Mus musculus: one gene and its partners. The protein of the gene in region 4 interacts with the protein of the main gene of each other region in a biochemical or structural test. Links are inferred from orthologs where the notes say so. Each region holds a gene or a part of one and is shown on either strand. Other genes may lie near its edges. The genes, in order: Itsn1, Snx9, Sh3gl2 and Dnm2.

Region 1 (7,291 bases), on a different chromosome or scaffold from region 4:
GGATCCAAACTCAGTTCCTCGTGCGTGGACAGAAAGCACTTTATCCACTGAGCCATCTCCCTAGAAACACATCTAAAAGGGGGAAAAAATCCTTAAGAAATGCCCGTAGCAGACTGGAGAGGCTGACTACTCTTCAGGGTGACCCAGGGTTCAATTCCTAGCACCCACGTGGTGGCTTACAACCATGAGTAACTCCAGTTCCAGGGGATCCAGTGCCCTTTTCTGGCCTCCTTGGCCATCACCATGGTGATACACGTGGTTTAGAAAAAAATATTTACGGACAAAACACCTACTTAAAATTTTATGAAAATTAGTAAAATTTCAAAAATAAGTTAAAAAGAAATGCTATTAGGGAGAGTCTGTCATGACACACTACACTAATGTCTAATAAACTAGCCAAATTCTCACAGATCCATAAAGTGATATATTATCCAGCTATTAAATTTATATTATAGACATGGAAGGGTTTTGTTTTTGGTTTTTGTTTTTTTGTTTGTTTTTTTAAATGCTGAGAAAACAAGTTAAAAAATAATCTATTGTGGCTAGTGCATGCTTGAATTCCAATACCAGGTTAGCAGAGGCAAGAGGATCTCGATAAGACTGACGCTAGCCTGGTCACAACAGCAAGACACATTCTCTCCCTCTCCCTGAGACAGAGACAGAGAGAAAGAGAATGAAAAGAAAGAGAAAACAAACTAGAAAAATGGCTCAGTGGTCCTGATTCAAGTCCTAGTGTATATATGTGGGGGGCATGGGGAGTCCGTATGTTTTTAAACTGTTCCTTTTAGTCAAAGGCTGGGAAAGAATCATTGCAAGTTAGAAGCCAGCCTGGTCAATCTAGTAAGCTCCTGGCTAGCCAAGGCTAGATAGGACTTTGAAGAAGAAAGAAGAGAAGGAGGAAGAGAAGGAGGAAAACAGACATGCACAGCAAGATCCCATTTTTTGTACCAAAAGCTGTACATGAAGAGCCATAAGCACACACAAAAATGGCCTGGTATATATGCTTGGGCCACGGATTTATGGGTATTTTATAGTTTCCTTGCTTTTCTGTATTTCTGTGTGATCTTTTTAAAATACAAAGGCTATTAGTTATTCACTCTAAATTGGTTAAGACTAATTCTAAAGTAATACAATTAAGATGAAAGTGAGCATGAAATTTATTTTGTAATCATATGTATAATCCTTGGTAGTTTATTAAGTAAAGTATACATTTAGTACCAAGATATTATCAAGAGACTTCCTTTAGGAAGCAATGAATCTCTACACAAAGTGACCACACAGTATGGCAGCACAGAAACCACGTGAGTGTCAGCTTGCAAACTTTCTATCTCACACACTCCAATTCTTCCTGTCAGTGTGAACTAGTGCTTAATAACTGACTGCGTTTAAGTGTAGGTCACTGTGACACATGCTTGAAACCCCAGCACTTGGAGGCAAGCCTGGGCAACATAGAAGTATGCAAAGTCCACTGCCATTCTTCCCATTTTTAGCAAAACTGAGGTCCTGAGAGGTTTGGTAACTACATCTAAGTCATTAACAATATGTGATGAAGTCCCATATTCTTCAGAGCTTGGCATTGCATGTAGCGCTCACCCACATAAAATCTGTAATTTATAGGACCCTGTGGTAGACTCTGTAAAAGGGAGTAAAGGTCGTATATCATAAGAGTCAAATTGGAAAGCATATGTATTGTCCATATTTTCTAAAAATGATTCTTTATGTTGGGATTATCATCATTTATAAAATGATACGTGATTAGACTCTACATTAAATTTTGAGCCCTCAGGGGCAACATCTACTAGACATCTTTCTAGCACATCACCCAGAAGGGCTGTACATTCAACACTGGTCAAGCTTAGGGGAACTGGCTAGGACACAGCGCTGTGACTACTCTGTGATGTGACCAACTTGGCAGGTAAAGACTCAAAACAGTGGGATGGAGGCAGTGTGGCTCACCCATCCACCCTGCAACGGTCTGAAAGGCACTGGCTTAGTTTCTAGGCAGGCCACACCAATTCTGCTCTTCTGAAACCCTCATCACAGTATGTAAAACCTCTGCTACTTGAAAAGCTTGCTATCCACTTCAGAGACGGTCTTAGGAGACACTCGGTAAGAGAGAAAAGCACAATGCCAAGGTTCTCCAAGTTCTCTCTCTGGCTTGGAGAAATTCCTGGAAACTGTATTGACAATACTGACTACTTCCCATTGTCTGACTGAGCTGGAGAGACAGAAACCTGGTAAGCTGATGTAAAGATATCTGAATGCCAGACTTAGATGGAGCCAGTAAGTGGAGCCATTCAGGAGGGAGTCACTAAAAAGAGAAGTCTGACATAAACCCAACCTCCATTAATTAATTTTCTTTAAGTCACAGGTTGAGCAAATTAAAAGGATGAGAGTCTAGAGACTGTAGCACAAGGCCCCAGGATCTAATGCCAGCAGTACCACACACAAAGACAACGTGAGGCTGCAGATGTAGCTAGGTGCTAGGCTACACTCTAGCATGCTCCAAGGCTTGGCTCAATCACCAAAAGAGAAAAAGCACAGGCAGAGGAATTTACCAGGGCCTCCCTTTTAAGCTCTTGCAAGTGTTTTAAGGGTGTATCTCAATCTAGGTTATTTGGGGAAAAGATAAAGAATGCCCAGAGGAAAAAGAAACTGCTAGTCAACAGCAAAAGAAAGAAAGAAAGAAAGGAAAAAAGGAAGGAAGGAAGGATGGATGTGGGCTGGAGAGATGGCTTAGCAGTTAGAGCACTGACTGCTCTTCCAAAGGTCCTGAGTTCAAATCCCAGCAACCACACGGTGGCTCACAGCCATCAGAACAGCTACAGTGTACTCATATAAATAAATAAATCTTTTTTTAAAAATTAAAAAGAAAGAAAGAAAGAGAGAGAGAGAAAGAGAGAGATTCAAAGAAAGAAAATGCTGAGGAACAAACATTTCAGGGAACTAACTTGCCGCTACTCATTTTATGCCCTATTTCACAATGCTCAGCATCTGAACAATCCACAGGGTTCCAAAGTACATTAAAATGTGTTCATTTCCTCTCTTACTCAGGCAGAATAATAATAGTTTTGTGGCGGTACCACAATCCTCAGCAATTTCAATGACAGACACTTTTTTTTTAAACACATACTCTCTGAGAGGTGCCTTACTGCAGCCACTTAAAAGTGTATAGAAATATCTATGCCCTGTCACCAAATCAGTGGCCTTCACTTCTTAATTTAAATCCTTTATAATTTCCTGAGTTCTTTACATATCTCCTACAGAAAGACGTTGCTTTTTAAAAACTTCTTAAGTTATAAGGGAACTCACACACACATACAAAATATTTCAAGCAAACTAGTGTAAAAAAAAAAAAGTAACAAAAATGGTAACCATAATGGTTGCTGAAACGTCTGCACTCTTCACCGTTAACATCTTCTAAAAATAAAAGTATCCCAACAAATAAATACATTCCTCTAGTTTGGAGCATTTAGAGAAACACCCTGCCAAGCAGCTGGCCTGCGGGCTCCTGGCCCCAGCTCCTGCCCTCACATCCTGTCCACTACATAATCCATGAGCAAGCCTTTCTCTTCATCAATTCAGCGGGATTAGTAAACCGGCCTCCCTGAAAATAGAACTGATATTTTCCACGGGCATTTGTTCCCATGCTTTCACTATCTATGCTATTTATCAGACTCTTTTTTTCTTTTTTATCCTCCGTGTTTCCGACCACGAAGTACCAAGAGAAAGATACCAACCGATAAACACAAAAGAACCGCATCTGGCCAGAGTCTGCATGCATTTACATTTCCAGGTTGCTTCTGTTTTCCGAAAAGCAGTGATGAGGGCAAAGTCGCAAACTTTCACATTCAAGATGCTACCAAATACCTCTACACCCTCAAGCTGCAGCAAGAAGCCACTAATCTATTCCTTCAAAAGCAAAGCCTGTAGTCTGAATCACAACAATAGAAGACTGCTCATAGGCAAGAGGATCAGCGAAGTTGTCTTCCAAAGCAAAGGCAAACAGAAGTGAAGGGAGATCCAGCCAGCTCCTCCTTGCTTTTCTTTCTTTCTTTTCTTTTTTTTCTTTCTGGGAATCCGGATTGCATTTTCTGGTGCCCCCCCCCACCCCCAAGAAGGGACCGCAATTATGCACTGGGTCCACAGCAGACACCCGAGTCAGTGCGTGCGCAAGGAGGGCGAAGCGGCCGAGAAGGGGACGCACGCCCGCTGCAAGGGTAGCCGCTTTCTGTTAAATGCCATCAGAGCCAGCCCCGGCCGCACCACTTCGGCCCAAACGGCATTGACCGCCCTTCACTTGACAGGGTATTCCAAGCAGGCGCTAGAGAAAAAGGATGAGCCGGGGACTCGAGGCCGGGGGCACCCGCGGGCGGCGCGATGCGGCTCCCGCGAGCTCGGGATCCCCGGGAGGCCGGGTCGGCCCGCCACCCTCCGGCGGCCGAGGGCAGAGGGGTCAGCGGTGGAAGGACCGCCCGCCGCGATGCCCCCCACGGGAGCGCCGGCCGTGGCTGCGGACGCCCATTCAGCCCGAACCCGTCCCGCGGCCGCCACCGCCGCGGCCCGCCCGCCCCGCTGCCCCCGGGGAGGATGAGAAAGACCGGGCGGAGCGGCGACGGCGGCCGCAGGGACGCGCGCCCGGCCGCTGGACCCGACCCCGGGGCGGCCATCGCCGACCCCCGCCCGCGCGCCAGGCCGCCCGCGTCAGCTCCTCACCTCATCTCCGGGCGGGTGCGCGCGGCCGCCCCTCACACAAATCAGTGCAGCCCGCACGCCGCGCGGAGGAACGCCGAGTCCGCAGCCGCGCACACCATCCCCGCCCGCCCGCCTGCCTGCCTCCCGGCCGTCCCGGAGCCCGCTCGGGATGCTCCCTTGCGAGCCGCCGTACTACGGAGCAACCAAGCTGCGCGCCCTCCCCGCGCCGCTCCACTCCTCTCGCCCTCCTTCGCTCCTTCGCTCCCTCACTCCCGCCTAACTCCTCATCTCCCTCCGCCGCCGCCCCTCCGCCCACAGCCTGCCCTCCGCCCCACCCATAGATGGGCGGGGATAACCGCCTGCCAATCGGACGGCGGAGACCACGCCTTCGCTCTCTCCTATGACTCCGCCCACTAGGTGGGCAAAAAAGAAGAAAGGAGCCAAAGGAAATAGAGGTGTACAGAGTGACAACGAGATACACCAATGAAGTAGTTTGGATAGCACCCCCCCACACACACACACTTTTTTCCCCTCCCATCCTTGTCTCGTCCCTTGAAGGCGTAACTAGAGGTTTCTGCTCTATGCGTGCGGAGATTTTGTTTCACGATTTGGCGCTTTGCTCTTTTCTATGCGCGACAGTAGCTAGGATACATTCAACTAAATTGAAGGTTTTGCAGAAAGAGCGTGGGCACGAAAGGCGAAAGACACAAAGACTGAAGAAAGATGGTAGGGGTTACGGTTGGAATGAGGAAGGGTGTGGCCTTTTACTCTAATTTGCATAAAACGGAACCCATCTTGGCAACGCCCAACTTCTCCCATTTATTGGTGGTCCCTGGGGCGGCGACTCGTCTCTCTACGGGAAGCAGCATGCTGGGAGATGTAGTTCCGGGTTCAGTTGCCATGGCGTTCGTCACAGCCTCCCCCAGATCGGTCATCCTGCGGTAGTGACGGGCAGTCTGACCAATGGCAGTACTGTTTGGACCCAAGAAGGCGGGCTCTCTGCAGAAGGACTGGGAAGGTGGCGGCGGCGAAGGCGCTGGCGGTTGAGGTTGCTCCGAGCCAGGTGAGCCAGGGAAGAACGATGTGTGTCTCTGAAATGGGACTTTGGGCGAAAAATGGAGAAACGCCTGAAGGAGCTGTCTAACCCTGGGGAGACTGGTACTTCGCATCACACGCCGACCTCAGAGATGCCCTGGCTCAGGCCTAGCTTGGCCGAGGCCGCCGAGGGGCGGGTAATACTAGATTTGACGGACAGTTCCTGACCCTGGCTAGGTTTTGATTGTAGACTGATCTTTGCTTCTTCCTCCGCGTTTATGGAGGCAAAGGTCTAGAACTGCCTTTCTCCTGGGTTGAGTCCTCCCCGCCCCCAGCTTCTCCCTATCACTGTTTCTGATGCTGTCTCTATTACTACTTCCCTTGTCACCCTTCTTATCCTTCTCTTTGCATTTCCAGTAAGCGGTTTCCTAAAGCAAACAAGGGTGGGTGTTCGCAGTAATGGGGCCTTGGGTCAGGAATTGCCTGCTTCATTGAGCCGGCCATACTTGAGCCATACTAAAGAATTATCCCAGGGTCGTGAGGAGGTGCAGATACTGATTCTGGATTTGGGCCTGGTGGTCTGCATTTGCTTTTTAAAAATTATATATATATATCTATATATGGCATTTTAAACAAACTGCCAAGTATAGCCAGTCCACAGTAGCTGAGTTTTGCATTGCCTGTCCAGGACAGATGTTCTAGGCACCCAGACGCTTTTAGATTTCCTGGGAGCCACATTTGGACAGTGAAGAGACCACGTGAAATTAATTTTACGTTTCTCTTAAACCAGCTTATCCAAATATTATTTCAACCTTTAAAGAAATCAGATATTTAAATGAGACAGTGTATCTGTTGTGCGTTTTACCCTCGCAGCATACCCTCGTACCCTCATCCTAAGGGCACGCCACTCACGTGCGGAGTAGCCACCTGTGGCTATTCGCCGCTCTCCGAATCCAGATGATGCAAGAGACCATTGCACAAACTCAGCAGTGTTAGTCATGTGATTGCCAGCGACATCCCTTTGCTGCTTCAGTACATGGGTTCAGAACTACTTTCACAATACGATACTGAGCTTACAAGAATACCAGGGAAAGTAATATTTATTAAAAAGCCAACTTCCGTAATGTGTGCGCTGTGTACTATACTCACTCAGTCCTTGCAGCAGCCTGCGTCCTATTGCGGGGTCCTGTCTCTTGGGAGTTGTAAATCTTAGGCATCAGCCACTGCAATGTACAATTATTACTGGCTTTTCTAATTAATGTCACCCACGCTTCTGTCTCCACATGTAGAAGGAGATGAGGTGTTCATATTTGAAACAGTGCTCCCCGTGTAAAATCAAGCCGCCCAAGGCTGGAGAGCTGGCTCAGGGTAGGGACACTTGGTACTCTCCCAGAGGACCAGGGCTCGCCACTGTAACCACCTCTGTTACACTAGTTCCAGCGGATCTGAAGCCCTCTCGTGATCCAACGGCACAGGGCACACAGGCAGGGTGCAGACACAGATCCAGCTGCCTGGCCTGGCGTGGTGGTGGCCCATGCCTTTGACTAGTGCTTGAGATGCA
Region 2 (6,695 bases), on a different chromosome or scaffold from region 4:
ACACAGTATGTGGCCTGGCACCCTTCACCAAAGTGAGCCAGGTGCCTCCCTCAGATATGCCCATTTGAGGAGTCTCCCCCTGGCCAAGGAAGAAAATTGGACCATTGGTGAAAACAGTAATTGCCACAAAATGAGGTCTAGCACACATATGCACACCAGAATTAATAAGATACTTGGAATGTAATCCCAGGGCCTTGGGGGAGCGTGGGCTCCATCTGCAGTTCTGAAACTGTAACGACAGGCACACGCATTGGCGCTGCTTTCCCTGTTCAGATGTCACTTGGTGGTGGCCAGGGGCTCCGCAAAGCAGGGGTTCCTGATGGAAGAGTTTTAAAGAAGAACAAAGAAGCGATGTCAGAGAAAGGTGCAGTTCTGTCAGAGACGATCGAGGCCGCTTCTGGAAGTGCAAAAACTAGACTCAGCTAGAAACTGACTATGGATCAGGTTAAGCCTCCAGGCCTGGTGGCCCGCGTGAGGGCATGGGAGGGACAGAGGGTGTCACCACAGACATTGAGTGTGTAGTGCATGACTCACACTCCTAACACCCCACAAAAAGACAGGGGTGACAAGAGCCCCAGGTTAAGGAACATGCCATCCTGTCTGTGTGTGCACTACCTTTGCACACTGGCTCTCACAGAGCCTGCCTGAGGTGCTGGAGGCCCACACGCTGCTCTGCTCCTCGTGAGAGCAGAGCCATGACCTTTTCCTAGGTGTGCCGCAGTGTCCTTGTTCTTTAAAGATTGCCTAGAACGTGATGTGTGTCCCAGGAAAAGAGAAACCGGGAGCACGGGGTCTAGATGGAAAAGCTGGTCACTGTCTGAGTTAGAGTTTCTATGGCTGTGATCAAACACTAACCAAAAGCCACTTGGAGCAAAGCATTTGTTTTAGCTTACAATTGAGGAAAGTCAGGGCAGGAACTGTTGCAGAGGCCATAGAGGAACTCTGTTTACTGGCCTGTGCCTCCTAGCTAGCTTAGCCCCCTTTTGTATAGCACTGAGGACCACCAGCCTAGGGGGTGGAGCCACCCACGGTGAGCTGGGCCCTCCTGCGGTGATCATTAGTAAGGAAAATGCACCCGAGGCCAGCCTAGTTTTTGATTTTCTCAGCCGAGGTGTCTTCTTCCAATGACTCTACAGCTTATGTCAAGCTGACATTAAAAGCACAGACACCATCTGCTGTCTGGAAACCAAAGAGTGGGGGATGGGAGTTCTCACCAACGTTGACAGTTTTTAAGTTTTCTACACTAAAACTATCAATAAAGTCTGTAACAAAAACCGTAAGTGTGGGGGAATATGTGTAACACAGTATAGTCTCTTCCAAGACTGCTGTCTGTTTCAGGAGAGACCGACCTTAACGATGCAATCACAGAAGCTGGGAAGACGTATGAGGAGATCGCCAGCCTTGTGGCAGAGCAGGTACTGCTGGGATCACACTCCCCAGCCCACATTGGTTGTTTAAACCCAAACAGCTGTCCCCTTTCTGTTTCTGTGGCTTTCTGTTCATTTTATTTAGTGATAATGTTTTTCTTTTTCAGTTAAGCCAGAGAAGACAAATGTCTCATTAAGAAATCCAAGTGAAGCTTTGTAGCTTACACCTGTAGCTTACACCTGTAGTACTAGAACACCAGAGGCTGGAGGCTAGCCTGGGCTACATGGGGCGTTTTTGTTGTTGTTGTTGTTGTTGTGTTGGGTTTTTTTTTTTGATTTTTCGAGACAGGGTTTCTCTGTAAAGCCCTAGTTGTCCTGGAACTCACTCTGTAGACCAGGCTGGCCTCGAACTCAGAAATCCGACTGCCTCTGCTTCCCAAGTGCTGGGATTAAAGGCGTGCGCCACCACGCCTGGCAGGGCCTGGCAACATGGAGCGTTTTAAGCTGATCTCAGTTACAGAGTAAGGCCCTTTCTCAAGAAGACAAAGAAAAAGAATCTAGGCTGGGCATGGTGGCACACGCCTTTAATCCCAGCACTTGAGAGGAGAGGCAGGCGGATTTCTGAGTTCGAGGCCAGCCTGGTCTACAGAGTGAGTTCCAGGACAGCTAGGGCTACACAGAGAAACCCTGTCTCAAAAAACCAAAAAAAAAAAAAAAAAAAAAAAAAAAAAAAAAAGAATCTAAGTGTGTGTGTGTGTGTGTGTGTGGGGGTCCTGTGGCTCAGTGGTAGTTGGCCTAGATTGCTATTCATATCTGTAAGGCTCAGATTTTGATCCCAACACCGTCCAAAAATGAAGGTAGGGGATGGAACTGAAGTGAGTTGGCCACGGTGCCTCTGACCCACTCTCAGCCAGAGGCTAGAGTGGCGAGGAGCCCTGGCATAGCCCTTGCACTGCTGCCTGCCCTCTCTAGCTTGCTTTCCTCATCTGTGAAGTGCCTTGGATGAGCCTCAGGAATGTAGGCAGTATTTTTTATTGTCTATTAAAATATAGACATTAAACGGTAACATCTTTGCTTGTTATAATTTTATGCCTGTATTTTATTGATTAAAAATGGCCCAGGACACATATGTAGCAGAGGGCTGCCATCTCTGGCCTCAGTGGATGCACCCAATCCCGCAGAGACTTGACTCTCCAGGGTGGGGGCACAGATGGACACGATGGCACATACCCTTAATCCCAGCACCCAGGAGCCAGAGGCACACAGATGTATGTGGGTTCAAGGCCAGCCAGACCCTAAACAGTGAGAGCATTTCAGTAAAGAAGCAGCACTCAGCCCTCTGTCACACAGGAGGATGTGGGCATCATTCCTCATTAGTTTCTTCTCTTTAATTTTCTAAATCCTCCACTAGTAACAGCCAGCCTGTGTCTCGTTATAGCCAAAGAAGGACCTCCACTTCCTGATGGAGTGCAACCATGAGTACAAAGGCTTTCTCGGCTGCTTCCCGGACATCATTGGTGCCCACAAGGTAAGTCACTGTGCTCTCAGGGCCTCCCAGACGCACAGCATCGCCGAGCCGCAGTTGTTTAGATCCTACGTGTATCCACAAGAAATGTGGTGGTGCACGCCTGTAATCCCAGCAGTGAGTTTGAGGCCAGCCTGGTCTACAGATAAGTTCCAAGCCAGACAGGACTACACACTGAGACCCTGTGTCAAAAGGAAGATGAAGGCACAGTATCCTAAGTCCCACCATAAAGTTTTAAAACTAAATTTAAAAGTTAGTTGGTAGATCTTGATGATTTAATGCTGGTTAGCATTTCCTCTCAGGGTCTCTGTGGTACGCTAGTGTGTTGAGGTGCCCTTGCATTTGTTAGGAAGCTCTCAGCAAAGGGCTGGTCTGTGTCTCAGCAGTGCTCCATGAGGAATCATGAAGGAGCAGCACAAACAATGTTTGTGTAACTCAGACAGCTTCATATGAAACTCAGGAGGTTGGCTCGTCAGAACTTGAGCAGCAGAGTTGGAGGGTCAGGCCTGGAGCCTCGCTTACACTTCACAGTGGAGCTGTCTTTGCGGGGGACATAAGTACTGAGTGGTGTCTGGAGCTGCGTGAGGACCAGCGCCAGTGTTTACAGCTGCTTCCATCCAGAATGAGAGTACAGGACCCAGGACCTCTCACAAACAACAAAGGAAAGCCCTGCAGTCTGCACAGCCAAGCCCGGCTCGCTCGTAAATGCTGTGTCATAGCAGCAGAGAGGACACGTGCCCCTGAGACAGCTCATGTGCCTTTCTGACCTCTCATCCCTTCTCCTCTGTGTACTCCTGACACCAACAGCGCAGAATCTTACATGGGCAGAGTTTTGTTTGTTTCTCTTATCACAGTGTGTAGCACTGCACATTCTAGCTTTATTGCAGTTTCCAGGAGCATCAGCCTTCAGGCTTCAGAGGGACTTAGAGGGAGTTGGCCTGGGATGTTCTGCTCTGTACCACAGAGTGTCAGCATTGCATCTTCAGCTAATGACTACTGCTCTTTGCTTTGTCTTCTTAAATACTGTTACATTTATGTATTTTCCAGGGAGCAATAGAAAAAGTGAAAGAAAGTGATAAGCTGGTTGCAACTAGTAAAATTACTCCCCAAGACAAGCAGACCATGGTGAAGAGAGTTGGCACCATGTCTTACGCTCTGCAAGGTAAGAGAAAGGGTGGTGAGTAACTGGGAAGAGCTGTTCCCAGCTCCCAGCGTCAAACCTGCTTGCTGGTAGAAATCCAAATGTTGAGTCCCAGTGAAATTCAAAGCTAATTTAAAATGTCTATCTGCTTCTAGGTAGCGTTTTATTTTACAGATGAACTTGGGATAGCTGTGGGTGATTACACCCATACATCATTACTTCTAAGTGACACATTCTGTTAACAGCCTTTAATATCACACTGTTGTATTCAATTCCAAAGTCCAGAGCTGGTGGGATGGTTCAGTGGTTAAGAACACTGGCTGCTCTTCCAGAGGTCCTGAGTTCAATTCCTAGCAACCTCATGGTGGCTCACAACCATCTGTAAAGGAATCTGATGCCCTCTTCTGGCGTGCAGGTGTGCATGCAGACAGAGCACTTCTACAATTTAAAAAAATGCATAAATTAGTACATTTAGTACAGCTTCTAGAGGTCTGTGAACTCTGTGCTCTGGGACCATGGAATCTAAAGGAGGCTTGTGGGTATCACTTAGACATAATTTAGTTAGAAAGAAAGCAGCTGATTTCTAGAGGTGTGCGTGTGTCAGAGAAAAGAACAGCAATGGCCGTCTCTGTGTCTGGTGAAGGCTGACAGACATGTGCCTGTGCAGACTGAGGCTGTCAGTGGAATTCAGCTAGTCAGTGACAGCCATCCATTACTAGACAGTGGCACTTGCTGCAGGGGTCAGCTGTGTTTCTAGGCTCTTGGTAGACTTGGGCTGAGAACTGGTGCCTCTTAGAAGCAGCCAGATGAAGTCCTGCTGATGACGAGTCTTAGGCAAGCAGAGAATGTCATGTTGTTATTCGAAGTCTTGCTGGGAACTAATCCCTGTGATAATTTTGTTGTAGCTGAGATGAATCACTTTCACAGTAACCGGATCTATGATTACAACAGTGTCATCCGCCTCTACCTGGAGCAGCAAGTGCAGTTCTATGAAACAGTGAGTGTCCCCTCCCAACACCCCCCATCCACAGGTGTGTCCCCTCCCAACACCCCCCATCCACAGGTGTGTCCCCTCCCAACATCCCCATGCACATGTGTGAGGGCAGTGAGTGTCCCCTCCCAACACCCCCATCCACAGGTGTGTCCCCTCCCAACATCCCCATCCACAGGTGTGTCCCCTCCCAACATCCCCATCCACAGGTGTGTCCCCTCCCAACATCCCCATCCACAGGTGTGAGGGCAGTGAGTGTACCCTCCCAACACCCCCATCCACAGGTGTGAGGGCAGTGAGTGTCCCCTCCCAACACCCCCATCCACAGGTGTGAGGGCAGTGAGTGTCCCCTCCCAACACCCCCATCCACAGGTGTGTCCCCTCCCAACATCCCCCATCCACAGGTGTGAGGGCAGTGAGTGTCCCCTCCCAACATCCCCCCATGTACATGTGTGAAGGGAGGGAGGTTTTGGCCTAGTGCCCTTGACTAGATAGACTTGGTCAGTTATAATCTTTACTCCTGAGTGATAAACCAAAGGGGCTTACATTTTGAACAGAGTTTAGTGGTTTGATTTTTTTTTTAATCTTTTAAAATTCCATCTGAGGAATATTGGATCAAAAAAGCTTTCCTGGGCCTGGAGAGACAGCGTAGTGCTTAAGAGCTCCTGCTGCTGTCACAGAAAACCCAGGCTCAGTTTCTGTCAGTCACACTATGGCTCACAGTCATCTCTAACTCCAGCTCCAGGGGTCTCATGCCCTCTTCTGACCTCTGCGGGCACCAACCACACACAAGCCACATACACATACTTACAGGCAGAGGAGCTGCAGAGAAAAGAAAATGAATAGGTATAATCTTTGGAAATGTTTAAGCTTTACTTTGAAGAGCAGACATTGGTTCCTAGTTTTAAAGCCTTGAGCAGTCCTGACTGTGTGACTTCCTTCTTTCTGAGCCTCTCCACGCACGGGGACAGTGCCAGAGGATTGAGGTCACCCTGCTAACCCACAAGTTGTATCGTTTTCAGTTAGAGAAATAACCAAAGGCAGCCGTTGCTTGTGACCCAGGTTTTACAGTTACCAAAGGAGTCTCTTCAGGAAAACCAAAATAACACAATGTTTTAACATTTTCATTCAGCGAACTGTAAGGAAAACATAAATCCTCCCTCCCTTCCTCTGCCTTGTGCTGTTCTCCTTCGTTACACACTTCCACACTTCTCGTCGGTGTGCTTGAACTCAGGCCCTGCAGGGCAGCACAGAGGAGCAGTGAGCGCTTGCGGTAGCCTTGGTGCTCAGCCTGCCATTGCCTCCATGCATTCAGAGATACAGGCTAGCCCTCAGAACACATCTCTGCATGTGTCGCTTTTGGGTTGTACTCTGGCAAAAACACCTTGTGAGTTCTGGAAAAAGCTGCCGACTCACAATTCACAATTACACACAAGGTACACGTGTTACATGTACATTTAAACAGGTGCATTTAAAACACATGGACCTGATGTGTGGGGATGGACTCACTCTGGAGCACTCTCTGTCACAATGGCTGTCTGTGTCTTCTGACTTTCCTGTCGCTGCTGGGCTTAGCCCCTCTGTGTGTTAGACATAGTAGGTTACATGTGTCTCTGAGAAAACGTTGGAAAGGTAGCTCTCAAGGTGCTCATACTGTGGATTTATTAATTA
Region 3 (7,380 bases), on a different chromosome or scaffold from region 4:
CCAGCTCATTTGTGTCTAATGGAGACTCACTGTGTTTTGAAGATGACCTCACTGTGGCAGACTGGAATAAGTTCTCTCCAACCTAGAGGAGCAGTAGTAATTCCATGCATGAGGCTGGAGCCCTCAGACTTAATCACCTTCTAAATACTGTCTACTAATACTATCTTATTCTCAGCACAGGAATTTGAAGTGGGGACAAAACAACCTATAGCAATATCCTACCCAACTGATTAAAGACTTGAGACAGAATTGTCCCTCTAAATGTTGGATCAAATGCAGTATTAAGAATACTATTACAAATCCTCTTATGCAAAATAGGCTAATATTTAAAGTGTATCCCCCCAAAATGTTTATGTTGAAATTGCAGCTCCATTAACGCAAGAGTATGACCTTACAGGAAAACAAGAACACTGCTACCGAGGTCCCACTAGAGTAGGCTCCTAATCCAACATGACTGGCACCTTGGGAAACTGAAAGTTGAGCACAAACACACACACACAGTGATGCTGTGTAAACATGAGGACCACATCAAGGCACTGTATGTAAGTTAAGATAAACCAGACAGACTACCAATAAAGGCCCAGAAGCTAAAAGTGATGCCTGGAGCAGCTCTTGCCTGGTGCTGTCTGAGGGACCATGGCCTTCCTGCTGCAGTGACCTAACACCTCCAGCATCTTTCTCTCAAGAGAAGTGATGCAGTACATTTGTGTTGTTTAAGTTGTTCAGTTTGGGGTACTTTGCTACGTATATTCTAGCAAACTAATAATGTAATTGTCTAAAACAGTTCATCCTGTAAAAAGATTTTCTTACACTGCCATACAGTTTGAAGAATGAATTGACACCATATATGCACCCCGTGGCAGTTTGAATGAAAATGGCCTCCAAGGGCTCATAGGGAGTGGCTGTTGGAGTAGGTGTGGGCTTCTTGGAGGAAGTGTATCACTAGAGATGGGTTTTGAAGTTTCAGATGCTCAAGCCAGGCTCATTGTCTCTTCCTGATGCCTGCTAATTCAGATGTTAATCCAGATGTTCAACTCTCAGCCCCTTCTGCAGCACAGTGGCTACCAGTGCACCACCATACTTCCCACTATGATGATAATGAACTAAACCTCAGAGCTGGAAGCCCAGCCTTAAACACTTTCCTTTATAAGAGCTGCCATGGTCATGGTGTCTCTTCACAGCCAAAAAATACTAAGACATACCATAGCAAACACTTGATCATGAAGTATAGGAAAAGAATTATGGGTTTGCTTGCAGTATTAACCAGGAACTAAAGCTATGTTTACACAGACTGCTGCAAATTCAAACAAGTTTTTAAAAGTTGACATTACTGATGATACAATGGAAGCTCAATAAAAATAAAACTCTCTGAAGGTAGAGTAGTAATTGCTCAATTTGTCCTATGTTGCAATAAAAATTATTTACTTACAGAGTAACCATTGATGAAAGGGAGAGATATTAAGTTCTAATATGAGAACCATAGGGGCACACTCTAACTAGGAACCCTAACCCAACGGTACTGACACTAAAGGCATATTCTATTGATGAAATCCCACCCACCCCTCTGTGGAAGCTCAGCTCCACAGAAAGGCAAGATGTTGCCTTCTCTGACCAGCATGGCAGTCAGGGGCCTAACACTTCCTCTGCAGCAAAGATCAGATTCAGGAAACGACTGCAAAGCAGGACAGGACCATTTCCCTCAGAGCTCAGAGCAGGCAAACACCACCTCGCGTTACACACCCTCTAGAATAACACATCCATGCACAGGAGAGTAACCTTTGCCTTACGTTTTTAAAGACTAGGCTCCATTAAGCTATGAATGAGATTGTGTTTTGCTTCACCTTTAAAACAAAAAGGCTTTTCAGCAAAGGAAGAGAATGGCAGTGAACAGTGACCCAGTATCTGGGTTCGGAGTGGTAAGGAGCAGGTCCGTCCCTAGTAGAACTCCTCCACACCTGGAGACGGGGCTTCCCCGATGACGTTCCAGTTCTTTCCTGCTTCCAGAGCTGCACACAACCTCAGGATGAGCTGAATGGAGTCAGATGGTTACTGTGTGTGTTATCGAAGCCCCGGCTGGGTTCTCAAGTCTCGTTATTACCAGTGGAAAGGAATGGTACCTAACGCTAAAGGAATTATCCTTAACATTAACAATTACCACTTATTAAGCATTTTCTATATATGCTCTACAAATTCATTTATCCTTACTTTTCCCCTGAGAAATTTTGTCTCATTTTTGGCAAGGACGGATTCAGAAAACTAGCTTGCTCAATTTCCTAGGTAGCAGAAGAGGGATTCAAATCTTAGCCTTTCCCTCCCCAAAGCCAAGGCTCCTAAAGGAATGTTGGTAGAATCAGTCTTTTGGTCTAGATTAGAAATGAGACAAGTACCTAAATAAATAAATAAATAAATAAATAAATAAATAAATAAATAAGGTGGGTGACATCAGGGCAGTCCTATGCCATTCACTGGTAGCACAGATTGGTTCTGTGAAACTGGAAAGTTGCCAGAATCAAGTGAATAATATACTTGGCTCTACCTTTCCAATAGGGAGATCACAGACAATTCTAGTGAGAAAACCAAATATATATGTAGTTAGAAGCACTTCCTAAAATGACTGTTTCCTGTCTCCCTAAATTAGTTCCCAACAGAACTCATTTGATGATGCTAAGTCTATGGTGACAGAGATGATGCTCAGGGGTGAATGTCATCCTGCACCTTAATTTAAGCAAACTTGAGGAATGCAGTCTTCACCTTTTCCCTATGCCTTTTGCAATAGTACTGAGGCTGTGAACTCGGTAATGAGACTCATGTATAGCAGAGGAGGACTGCCTGGTCTGGCCTCAGTGGAAGAAGATGTGCGAGAGACTTGAGATTCCTGGGAGTGGGAAGACCTGGTGTGCGTGACATCCTCTTGGAGACAGGAGGGAGAAATGGGATGAGGAACTGTGGGAGGGGGGACCCAGAGGGAAGGGAGTGGCTGGATTGTAAAAAAAGATAAAAGTAATGTTTTTAAAAAACAAGAAATTACAGAAGCCACACAATTAAGGTTAGCTTAGGATAAGGATCTTTAAAGCTAAATGGTTACGCAAAAAGTATTTTACGGTTTATCAATAAAGTCGTTTCTTGTTAAATATATCTTAAAATTTAACCTGTTCCAAATGAATAAAAGGGTTGTAACTCCACACATTATGTAAGAAATGGGTCACATCGTAAGTATTTTTGGACATTTTCTCTTTGTAAAATCACTGAGTTGGGCCCAATGAGATTTAAATTATGTGGGTCTGGATTAAATTTTAATCTCAGCTTACCCCACACAGAAAATTTGGCACATCTAGTAAACAGTGATTTTCAAGTTTTTAACAACTGCCTCCGCAGTAAAACCCGTGGGAGAACTTTAAAGACTTGCAGACCACTGATCAAACCATGGCCTCAAATAAGCTTCACCAAGGAGTTCTCCAGGGAAAAAAGTTAATGCATGCATGCTCCTTAGGGGAACCACATTCTCCCATGCTGGGAGCCTGGGGAGGCCTGGGAAGGAGGGGTTCTGAGAAGGCCTGGGAGCGCAAAGCCTGGAGCAAGCGCAGAGCGCGGGCACCTCCGCAGCCTCCAGAGCGAACCTCGCTCCAGCCAGCACATCCCAGGACAGTGGGGCACACCACACCGCAAGGTCACCGCACCGAGGCGACTTTACATAATCTCCCGCCGCGCCGCCAAGCACCTGCGCGGCACCCTCCGTGCAGAGCCTGAGAGCTGCCGTGCAGGGACTAACTGCCTGGGAACCCGGTGGGCGGCGAACCGAGACAGCGGGGACAGAGAGCAGAGATGCCAGGGGAAGGGAACTGAGGTCTGAGTGCTAGAGTGGCAGGGACCACAGGGACTCGGAGTGGGAAGAGGAAGCAGGGATGCAGCGGCCAGGGAGGAGACTCGCGGAGCGAGCACCGATCGGAGACAGGGAGCCGGGTTATGGAGCCAGGCTGCCGCGCAGCGCCCCGCGGGGACCAGATCAGAACAGGGAGGGGTTGCAGGGGAGGACGCCGTCTGTCTGTCGGTCTGCGGGGCGGCCCATGGCGCACCTGCACGCGCCCTACCTGAGTGGCTTTGTGGAACTGCTTCTTCAGCCCTGCCACCGACATGATGGGATGCGGGAGGCTGCGCGGCCGGCAGATGCAGATGCAGATGCGGAGAGGCGGCTGGGGTCGCCGGGCCGCCGCTGGTCGTGCGACCGCGGGAGCTGCTGGCGCGGGGGCGCGGCGCGGGACGCGGGCTTGTGCGGAGAGACACCCTGACGTCAGGGCGGGTGATGCGGCCTCTTAAAGGGGACGCGGGAAGCCCCGCCCAGGGCGCAAGCCGAGGCAGGTGAGCGCGAGGAACCCCCGCACTGTGCGGGGGCGAAAGTCCCTCCACGGTCCGAAGCCTGGGCTGTCTTCAGCTGTGGGAGTCGTTCGTTCGTGGCCCTGGCAAAGGGATCACCGCCTTTGGGCAGTCTAGACTCAGGTGACCCAGCTCCCAGGTAGCCGCAGTGGTGCTGCCTGCGCACTGCCCTTGCCCTTTGAGCCTGGCCTCCCTGTGGTTGAAAAGCAGGGTGGCGGCTTATCTGGATCATGAATAAGTTATTGCTCATTTCATGCCCTGCCTTCCCGCATGATTGGCCACCGAAAACATTTCTCTGCCTCGATTTTAATATCCCTTAAGCTTGTTTCACCTTAGGGAAATCTATCAACTTTTTTTTTCCTGTTCTAGTACAACTTAACTACTTAAGATGAAGAGAGGTCCCTACAGTTTGACTGGGATACTGGAATGGAATTGATATGAGCTATAGCATATATTGATATGAGTAATAACATTTAATCTTCTATTTTCAAAAGAAAAAAAAAACGAATGCGAACTTGGCATTCACACAATTATCATGGACATTTTTTTCTTTCTTTTTTTTTTTCGTTCTAACATTTTTATATAATGAGGAAAGGAAAGGCAGTAAGTTATACAAACACCACATAGGGACAAAGGGTGGATGGGACTGGGTGAAGGGCCCAGAGCAGCACCAGAAATCTGTGCTCTTATGAGCAGCCACTTCAAGTTTGTCTTGTATGGAAGAGCTTGTGGGAGAGTCTCAGATGCAGGCCACACCTGCATGTGTGGATCAAAGTGATGAGCCGCCAAGAGGAGAGTAATTACGGAGAATGTGGAAAGAATCAACAGGACCTGGATTGGGTTCCTAGAAATACAGTTCCCCTCCCGCCCCCCCCCCCTCTACTGCCTGGTGTAAAGGAAGCCAGTAGACTTCTGCAGCTTGAGTAAAGATGAACGGAAGAGCAGGTGCAAGGGGATTCTAGACACGGGCTGGGTACCACTCACCCTTGCTACTGTGAATCACAGCACAACAGAATATCGGAGCAGTGAGCAGTGAGCATACCCTTCCAGTCTGCAAAGCAAAGCAAAAGGAAGGAAGGGGTCTGTAGTCTTGTGGTCCTTGCTGCTGCCCAGACCTTCCAATCTGTGGTACTTTCTAATTTCTAAACTACCGTGGAGGCATTGGGATAAACATTGGTTAGAGGATTTAGGCAGGAGGGACATGCTAATTCTTAATAATTCACCTTTTGGTATCAGGGCCACAGGGTTCGCTTCTCTCTGCCACAAATCTATGATGTGGTCTGAAATTTGCAACTTTGGTCTCAACACATGAAAGAAGTGAAATGGGGACCTGAAGAGGCTCCTCGGAAACTTTGAGCACTTGCCTTAACCTTAAAATCTTAAAGCAAAGCTAGTCCCCGCCTTTCCTTGTCTCTTTGACTACTTACCTTCATAGCGTATGCTGCTAAAGATCAGAGGAACCACGTTGGGTTCTGCATAGAAAACTTCAAAGCGCTTTGAACCTATTGCTCTCACCTAGGTCTCATCTAAGTCAGGGATTCTATTTAAGCCTCAACTGTTAGCTATGAAAACCTTTGGGGTGTTGCCCCAGAAGAGAGGTGTTGAGCAGCTACTTTTGGAAGGCATCAGAGAAAGGGGTGTGAGGGGATGGTGCAGGAAGATGCCCACACATGTAAATTGGCCCTTGAACCCCAAGGTCAGCCAGTCTCAACCCCCCTAATGCTGCAATCCTTTAATACAGTTCCTCGTGTTGTGGTGCCCCTAACCATAAAATTCTTTTCTTTGCTGCTTCATAACTGTAATTTTGCTACTGAGATGAATCATTATATAAATATCTGTGTTCTCTGATGGTCATAGGCAACCCCTGTGAAAGGGCCATTTGATCCCAAAAGGGGTGGCAACCTACAGGTTGAGAAGCACTGCCCAAGTATTTCCAGGCCAATGATTCAAAGCCACTGTTTTATGTGCATATATTCTAACTTGAATGTAGAAGGAAAGTGTGCTTGGTGCTCAACGGCTCTCACATGGGAATTCTTCCACTGCAAAGGATCTGTAACTAAGTCTCAAAGCACAGCGTAGGCGGCTGTGGTTAGAATCAGAGGTCAGTAAGGAAGGCCTTTGACGAACTCAACATTTTACCCTTTCGTCTCCCGAGATAAAAATCACTGGGAAAATGGTAAATAAACCCGGATCAGCTCAAGAAAGGCCCAATTATGCGAATCCCCTACACAGCACCACCTCACTAATTGGGCAGTAAATTCATGGTCAGCAATAATTTCCTCACATCATTTATGCACTACTTCTCTCTGCATTATGGCAAAGCTTCCAGGAAATACCAGTCTGCTAGTGTGCACAGGGCTGATGCATCCCTAGTTACCTTTCATGGTGATATAGATCCCAGGAGAGAGGCAGATGGAAAGCTCCCACTTCCATCTTTCTCCCCACTGACCGTGTTCACAGTCTCTGGCCAGCACAAGGGTAAACTGCTCCAGAATTCATGTGCAGCTCAGTGAGCATGTGAATCACAACAAGGCCAAGGCGTTCAGTCCTAGCTTCAGATCTTACAGCTGAGAAATTCGAGGTGACACAGGGCAGTGAGTCACTCTTTTTCTACTACGGCCTCTAGCTAAACGCAGGACAGCTGTGTCGGTGCTAAGTGTAGACAGAGATGACCGAGTGAATGCATAGCCCTGTCACTGGTACCACTTAAGTCACAGGCTTAACACCCTTAGCCACATAGCCCTGTGAGTGGTGTGCTTGTGGATGCGATCTAGGAGCACGAGTGCTTGCCCGGAGTGGCAGGGCTAGCAACAGCTTCCTAGAAATGGGAAATCAAGGCCAAGGCCACCTTCATAACTCTGCTTCCAGAATTTCCCCCAAAAGCTACATAGCAAGGTACATATCTGCCTGGTCCCTTGGAGGTAAAACGTGAAAGTCTTATTCCTGTAATTCAGCCTTCATCTCTCCAAAGCACAATGGGTGTCTCCCTACCTAAGCCCTATTAGCCTA
Region 4 (7,309 bases):
AGTGACATGCACCAGGTAACGCTGTAAGGCAGTCAAACACTCAAGGAACAAACTGTAACCCCACTTCCTTCTGAGATTCCGATTCAGAAAGGCAATACATTCACAGGAAGGAGTCTAGCCTCCGCTTTCCAGGCTGGAACCCCAACTTCCTGGGTTCCTGTCCAAATGGGGGTGGGGTAGGGGAAAAAAGCCCAGCTAGCCTCTTTGCCAGTCCCTCAATTAAATAGCAACGATTAGGTAGAAACCAAGCCCTCCTGAGAGCCATAGCTAGCTCACAAAGCTGGCTGGCTCAGATGCTGGTTTCAAATGCTAACGCTTCTAAAATGGTAAAAGCAGTCCTGGTTAGAAGATCCAGTGAGTTACCCGTGAAGTCAGCTCACCCCAGGGTGAGGGTCTCAGTCTTACTTTTTCACTTCTGGGGGAGCAGACATTATACCACTGCCACTCTGCCCAGATTACATACAGCTCTGTCTTAGAGCAGAGAAACCTGGGGTCTGGCTGCCTCACCTACCATGCACAAAGTTCTCAGTTCCATCCCCAGTACTACATAAACCCAAACATGGTGGTGCACTCCTGCAATGCCAGAACTCAGAAGGTAAAGGTAGGAGATCCAGAGTTCTAGGTTAGCCTCAGCTCTATAGCCATTTCAATGTCAGCCAAGATTCAATCATTGGCGCTCAGGTAAAACGCCAGGCATCACTATGCACGCCTGTCATCACAGCACTGTAATGGTCCAGGCAGAGAGATCCCTGGGGCTCGCTGGCCAGTCAGCCTAGACTACAAGTGACTCAAACCCACAAAGACGACGGCTCCTGAGGAACCATGATTAAGGCTGCCCTCTGACCCCACACACTCATATTCAGACACTTGTGCACAGACACACACTCAGGAACCTGGGGCCTAGAATGCCCAATCAATGCCCTTGACTAAAGTCACAGCTTTGGTAGACCCATGCTTGGGGCCTCAGGCCTCTACCTCATTATTACTAAAACCTTCAGGGTAGTTTCAGGCTCTGTAGAAATCTGGACCTCATGTGAAACCTGTTACATTTCAAGCCCTTGGCCTCCAGGGCTAGCAATCTGCATGCAAGTCTCGGCAAGGGGCTGGGCCCACTGAGCTGTCCTAGTGTACACTAATGTTCTTAGAAAAATCTAAGGCAGCCCTGACAGGAAGCATTTTGAGCTGTCCCTAGGTGCTGGGCTGGCCCAAGCCCTTGGCACACTCTCCTTTGCTCCTGGCTGACAACCAGATGCCCCTGGATGGATATTCAAGAACAGCAGAGGAAAGAAACAGCACAAGGGTCAGACAGACTCATAGTTCTGACTCTGTTTAATAAAGTCCATAGCAGGAAATAAAGAATGGGATTGAGTGGGCCTCTTGGCAAAGTCCTGCAACACAGGTACGTTATGCATTCTAGAGTAAAATGAACTTAATGCCATAGTGGTGTGTGCTTGTGACCCCAGCACTTAGAAAATGAAATCGGACAACTGCTGCTACAATTCTGGAGGCCAACCTATGCTATAGTAAGTTCCAGGTCAGCCTGGACTACAGTATGAGACTGTTTCAAAATAAACAAACAAAAATTTTTTTAAAATTAAAAAACAAAAAACCAAAATAACCCCCACCCAGGAACGGTGCTGTATGCCTTTGATCCCAGCACTCAGGAGGTAGAACTAGGTGCATCCCTGTATGTTCAAGGCCAGCCTGTCTACATTCTGAGATGCTTTTTAAAACATTGATCAATAGCTAGGCTTGGTGGACTTGCCTTTAATCTCATCACTTGAGAGGTAGAGGCAAGTCTCTCAGTTAGAGGCCAGCCTGGCCTATAAAGGTGGCTCCAGGACAGCCAGGCTCTGTTACTCAGAGAAACACTGTCTCAAAAAAACCAAAAAACAAATAGATAAATAAACGAACAAACAAACAAACAAACAGGGATATGTGTATATACATATACATAAAATTTTTATTTCATTACCTAAAAGCCATAGGTGTTTTTGAGTATGAATGCAATCAAAGAGAACATAAATATCAACAATATTTCTTATTAGTTTGGTGCTGGGAACTGACCCCTGGGTCTTATTCATGCTAGGCAAGTACTCCATGCCCGAGCGTCACCACACAGCCCTCTCATGGCTTTTTTTTTTTTTTTTGGAGACAGGACTAACAATGGAGCCCATGTTGAACTCAAACTCAAGAAATCTCCTGCCTCAGACTCCCAAAATCCTAAGATCACAGGTGCAGCTAATTCAACCTAAATGTACACTTCCAAGTACCCAGTCCCTGCAGTCTTGAATCAACTTTTGAGGTTTTTTTGAGACTGGGTCTCAATATGTAGCCCTAGCTGCCCTAGAACTCTACTCTATGTAGAGTGAGCTAGCCTCAAATTTAGAGATGTTCTGCCTCCACAAAAGACTGGTAACAACAATAACAGAGGGTGTGTGTGTGAGTGTGTGTGTGTGACCCAATGATAGGGTGAGACAGAGAGAGGTGGATCCCTGGAGCTCACTGGCCAGCGAGAATAGCTGAGTGAGATCAGTTAGCTGCATGGTGTGTGTGTGTGTGTGTGTGTGTGTGTGTGTGAGAGAGAGAGAGAGAGAGAGAGAGAGAGAGAGAGAGACCCAATGAGATCGGTGAGCTGCATGGTCAGTGAGAGACCATGTCTCTACAATTTAAGATGGAAGGACAATGACATAGCTCAATGGATACTAGGACTTGCTATATAAGTCTGCGGCCCGGTGTTTAATCCCCACATAAATTTTGAAGGACTTCACAAAGATTATGCCCTCTGACTTCCACAAATGCACTCTGGCACACACTTGGACACACACACACACACACACACACACACACAATGATAATGTCCACAGCAAAGCAAATGTTAACACTGGGTAGGCACACACTGCAGCATCATACATGGAACACTTCCTGGAATGGAGAAGTGCTGCTGCGGGGAGAGGCAGAGGGGGAGGGGACAGGAGTAAATCAACATCCCTCCTTCACTCACTTCCTGGATCCTACAAACAGCTGCAAGTGGAATTTGCCCACTGGACAGATGGAACAAGCTGAGGCTCCCAGAGCTATCTAGAGAGCATTCCAACTGGGAAGCTCTAGGTTAGGGGATCCTAGCCCAAGAAAGAATCCTAAAGAATGTTTCTTCCCAAGTTCTCCAACCTCTGTCACTCAGAGAGGATGGACAGGCAGGGATGCCTGGGTGGGAATGGAGAACAGACTAATGGATGGATTCAAAGAGCCAGTCGGCCCAAGAGAACCAGATAACAGGAGGCTCCCAAAGTTCAGCCAGTCAGATGGCAGAGGCCAACTCACGTAAATAAGGGGCACAGATGGGCATTTGCACACGAGAGGTCACCTTAGATGGCTAGCCAGACAACGGTGGACTTCAGAGTGAGTTTGGACAGATGGGACAACCAAATGGTGCCGGTAGGAAGCCTGTCTAGAACAGATAACCAGCTAACCAGGCAAGAGAGCAGGCTCCAGAAAATAACTGGCCAGACAGACCCCAGGGGTCATTCCCCATGGATGGCTAAGTGGCAAGTGTTATCTTCAACATCTTAGCACACACACTAAGATTTCCAGGTAGCAGAAGGAAAGAGGAGTGGATCTATCCCGGACTACAGGTAAAGCGATGTCAGAGTTGCCCAGCCATAGCCGGAACTAGAAGCACCAAGAGGGGTCGGCACTGACCGTCTTGCCCCAAACACCGCCCACTATCATCGACTAGTCCCAGACTTGGATCTGCATCTCCAGTCCCTGCGGAAAGCCATGGAGACTCTTGCCCCAGACCTTATCCACTGCCACCGGTGCTGCGGCGTCCGCGAGCCGCAGTTCCGCCATTCCCCGCCCGCCCTCCGCGCCCTAGGCCGCCGCCCGCCCTCCCGGCCGGAGCCCCAGAACCGCCGCCGGCGCGCTCGCTCACCGGCCCACGAAGTTCTCGAGCACCGAACTTTTGCCGGCGCTCTGGCCGCCCACCACGGCGATCTGCGGCAGGTCCAGGTGGCAGCTCTGACCGATGGAGCTGAAGGCGTCCTGCAGCTTGTTAACCAGCGGGATGAGCTCTTCCATCCCGCGGTTGCCCATGGTGTCCGCCTCCGCCGCGCGGATCCCCCGACTAAGACTCTCGGTTCCGATGTGTCTGTGGCCGTTGCTTCCTCCTGCTCTGCTCTGCCGGCCCGCCCGGTCTCCCCTTCGCCGCGACGCCCGCTCCCGGCTCGGCCTCAGAGTCGCCGCCTCATCCGGTTCTCAGGCGACACCCGACCCGAGCGAACAACCCTCCCGGCCTCCGGGGCGGAGTCCGCAACCCTACTGCTATATCCAATTGGTTCAAAGCACTGCCACTCAAGAACGTGAGCCAATAAAAAAGGCACGAGGAAGGGCTAATCTCACAAATTCACTGGGTAATAAAACTGTCACTCTTAAGTGAAAGCCAATAGAAGTCAAACCGGGTTGTCAGACCGGGAAGGCGGGGTCTCTGGAAAAGACACTGAGGCCTCAGCTCACTAGGTTGATTCGGGTTGGCTTATTGGTCGCAGAAACGTCAACCTGCCAAGGGTGTAAGGGATCCATTCTTCAACACTGGATTGTCACTTGACACTAGTTAATTCCGTAAAAATTTCTCATTGGCTGATATAAATATCACTTCTCTACTCCAACCAGTAAGAGGAAAGAGAGCCGCAATCTTTTTCTATAGTTTCTATAGTTTTGTATGCTGGCTACAGACTCTTGATGTTCCTCCTGTCTCAGCCTCCCTCCTGCTAGGATACACGCTACTACCTTCCCAATCCTCACTGACAACTGTGTCATAAAAGTTCTTCCAACTTCCTGGCATTTGCTATCACTTTGTGATATTCTTTTTAAGCAAAAGGCCACAGTGCTCAGGGAAGCACACCGTGGTAAGGTTCAGTGGCTGTTACACCTGAATTCTTAGGCTGTAGTGAAAACCCATATTTTAGAAAGCATCGCAGTCGGGCGTGGTGTCGCGTGCCTTTAATCCCAGTACTCGGGAGGCAGAGGCAGGCAGATTTCTGAGTTCAAGGCCAGCCTGGTCTACAGAGTGAGTTCCATGACAGCCAGGGCTATACAGAGAAACACTGTCTCGAAAAACAAAACAAAACAAAACAAAACAAAAAAACTAAAACAAAAAAACAAAAAAACAAAACAAAGCAGAAAGCATCGCAGATCCCAACTCTGGAAGAATCCCAGTGCCAGTGAAAGATGAGTCGACACTTCTGCCTCATAAAGGCGTTCTCACCCTCTCGTGCTTATTTCTGTACGTTACAGAGGGTCAAGTCTACAGTTCCATTAAGCCAAGCAAGTGTTTTGCGGATGGCTACAACTGTAGGTTTATTTTTACTTTAATTTTTTTTTTCTCCTAGACCAATGGCTCAGTACTTGCTGCCTTGGGAGCCGACTCAAATTTGGTTCCCAGCACCTGCATGACAACTCACACAACCATCAGTGATTCCAGTTCCAGGAATCTGACACCCTCGTCTGGCCTCCACTAGAAACAGACACAGACATAATGCACATACCGACATGCAGGCAAAAAAAAAAAAAATCCATGTACAATTTTTTTAATTTACATAAAATAACAGTTAAAAAGTTTTAAAGATTTATTTTATTTTTATGCGCACCAGATCTGTGCCCGGTGCCCACAGAAGTCAGGAAGGATCAGATTCCCTAGAACTGGAGTTCTGGATGGTTTTATATGAGATTTTAAATGTGTGGGTGCTGGGAACAACAACTGTTCTTAACCACTGAGCTGTCTCTCTAACCCCAAACTTTTCTTTTGCATGCATGGTGTTTGGTCTTGCAGGAATATTTTGTTCACCAGAGTCATGCAGGACCAAGAAAACCAAAAGAGGGCATCAGATCCTCTCAGAACTGGAGGTACAGTTACAAGCTGCTATATGGGTGCTCAGAACTGAACCCACCTCCTCTACAGGAGCAACAAGTGCTCTAAACTGCTAAACCACCACGACTCCAGCCCCTTTATTTTAATTATGTGTTTATGTTGGGTGTGATATAGGCACATGAGATGAGAAGAGGACATGGAATTCCTTGAAGTGGAAGTTAAGAGCAGTTGTCAGTCATCTGATTATGGGTGCTGAGAACCAAACTATAGTCCCCTCCAACAGCAGCACTCTAAACCACTCCTCCAGCCTCCATTTTTTCTCATTTGTGTGGCTGTGGTATGCTGCCCTGTGCATGTGCATACGGAGGTCACAGCTTGACATTAGGCCTTGTCACTTCTCTTAGTTTTTGAAACAGGATTTCTCAGCCAAGAGCTGGTCAGTTCAGCTGAGAAGGTTAGCCAGCAGCCGGAACTGCACACGCTCACCACCATGCTTGACTTTTTATGAGGGTCCTGGGGATCTAGGCCACCATCTCTCCAGGTGCCCCATCCACCCACCACCCAAGCCATTGTAAGGCAGAAGCCAGTATTGCAGCTGTTTCCATGTTACTTCAGCTTTACCACATCCTACATCCTTTTAACTGCCAAGTGCAATGTGGAGATTCACTCCCTAACGCAAGATGGGAGAATACACTACTTTGCAGGCAAAACTGGAGGTTCTGGAAGCACATTTGGGGGAAGGGGGAAGATGGTGGTGTTTACCTTTGACAGAGCCTCATTTCACAGAGCCTTGACTCAAGGCTGTGTAGCCAAGGATGGTCTTAAACTTCAATCCTTCTGCCTCTAACTCTTACAGGCAGGAGCCACCACACCCAGTGTATCAAGAACTCAGAGCTTCTTTTCATGGCCAGGTCCCAGCATTTGTTCTGTATTTGTTTCCTTTTAGGAGGGCTGTGTTTACCTGAGACACAGTCTGTCTAGCATAGGACGACCCTTACTGTGTATCCCAGGCGGGCCTGCAACTCCCAGTCCTCTTCCCCCAGTCTCTTGAACATAGGATTTTGGCCATGCCGCCAATTGCCCGGGTGGAACAATTAATAATAATAATTATTAAATCAGTAATAATTTAATGCTTCTGGGCACACATGTGCTTGAATAAGCCCAGTAAGGAGGCAGCAGGAATGTACACTCTGGAAAGCAGCTGACAGGAGGTGGTACAGGGGTCGCACCGAAGCTGTGAGCAAGAAGATGACAGAGGGAGACCCTGATCTTTAAAAACAAAAACAAAACAAAACAAAAAAAACAAAGGAAGAAAAGGAATCAGGGCATTAAAGCCCATACTTGTTGGCCTTATTAGATAGAGGAATAAAATATTTGTGTAAGCCAATGGGAAACTTTAGGGAACTAGATAGCATCAACTGACAAGCCATTGTTTAAGGA

What was found.
Region 1: the proteins of Dnm2 (region 4) and Itsn1 form a complex in vitro, tested with the Homo sapiens proteins (2 studies listed by BioGRID and IntAct, with this or other methods). The link is inferred for Mus musculus from reciprocal best matches to the Homo sapiens genes DNM2 and ITSN1.
Region 2: the proteins of Dnm2 (region 4) and Snx9 form a complex in vitro, tested with the Homo sapiens proteins (2 studies listed by BioGRID and IntAct, with this or other methods). The link is inferred for Mus musculus from reciprocal best matches to the Homo sapiens genes DNM2 and SNX9.
Region 3: the proteins of Dnm2 (region 4) and Sh3gl2 interact in a biophysical measurement, tested with the Homo sapiens proteins (2 studies listed by BioGRID and IntAct, with this or other methods). The link is inferred for Mus musculus from reciprocal best matches to the Homo sapiens genes DNM2 and SH3GL2.

What each region holds. Positions count from the first base shown.
Region 1 is NC_000082.6:91,727,025-91,734,315, reverse strand, and holds the start of Itsn1 (intersectin-1), read right to left. Parts: upstream 4,946-7,291; 5' UTR 4,717-4,945; intron 4,709-4,716; exon of another isoform or gene 3,781-4,708; coding exon of another isoform or gene 3,741-3,780; intron 1-3,740. UniProt on the Homo sapiens protein: Adapter protein that provides a link between the endocytic membrane traffic and the actin assembly machinery. Acts as a guanine nucleotide exchange factor (GEF) for CDC42, and thereby stimulates actin nucleation mediated by WASL and the ARP2/3 complex.
Region 2 is NC_000083.6:5,923,267-5,929,961, forward strand, and holds part of Snx9 (sorting nexin-9), read left to right. Parts: intron 1-1,338; coding exon 1,339-1,415; intron 1,416-2,805; coding exon 2,806-2,895; intron 2,896-3,939; coding exon 3,940-4,054; intron 4,055-4,938; coding exon 4,939-5,030; intron 5,031-5,039; exon of another isoform or gene 5,040-5,202; intron 5,203-5,233; exon of another isoform or gene 5,234-6,085; intron 6,086-6,695. UniProt on the Homo sapiens protein: Involved in endocytosis and intracellular vesicle trafficking, both during interphase and at the end of mitosis. Required for efficient progress through mitosis and cytokinesis. Required for normal formation of the cleavage furrow at the end of mitosis.
Region 3 is NC_000070.6:85,202,330-85,209,709, reverse strand, and holds the start of Sh3gl2 (endophilin-A1), read right to left. Parts: upstream 4,255-7,380; 5' UTR 4,134-4,254; coding exon 4,089-4,133; intron 1-4,088. UniProt on the Homo sapiens protein: Implicated in synaptic vesicle endocytosis. May recruit other proteins to membranes with high curvature. Required for BDNF-dependent dendrite outgrowth.
Region 4 is NC_000075.6:21,421,882-21,429,190, reverse strand, and holds the start of Dnm2 (dynamin-2), read right to left. Parts: upstream 4,284-7,309; 5' UTR 4,096-4,283; coding exon 3,935-4,095; intron 1-3,934. UniProt on the Homo sapiens protein: Catalyzes the hydrolysis of GTP and utilizes this energy to mediate vesicle scission at plasma membrane during endocytosis and filament remodeling at many actin structures during organization of the actin cytoskeleton.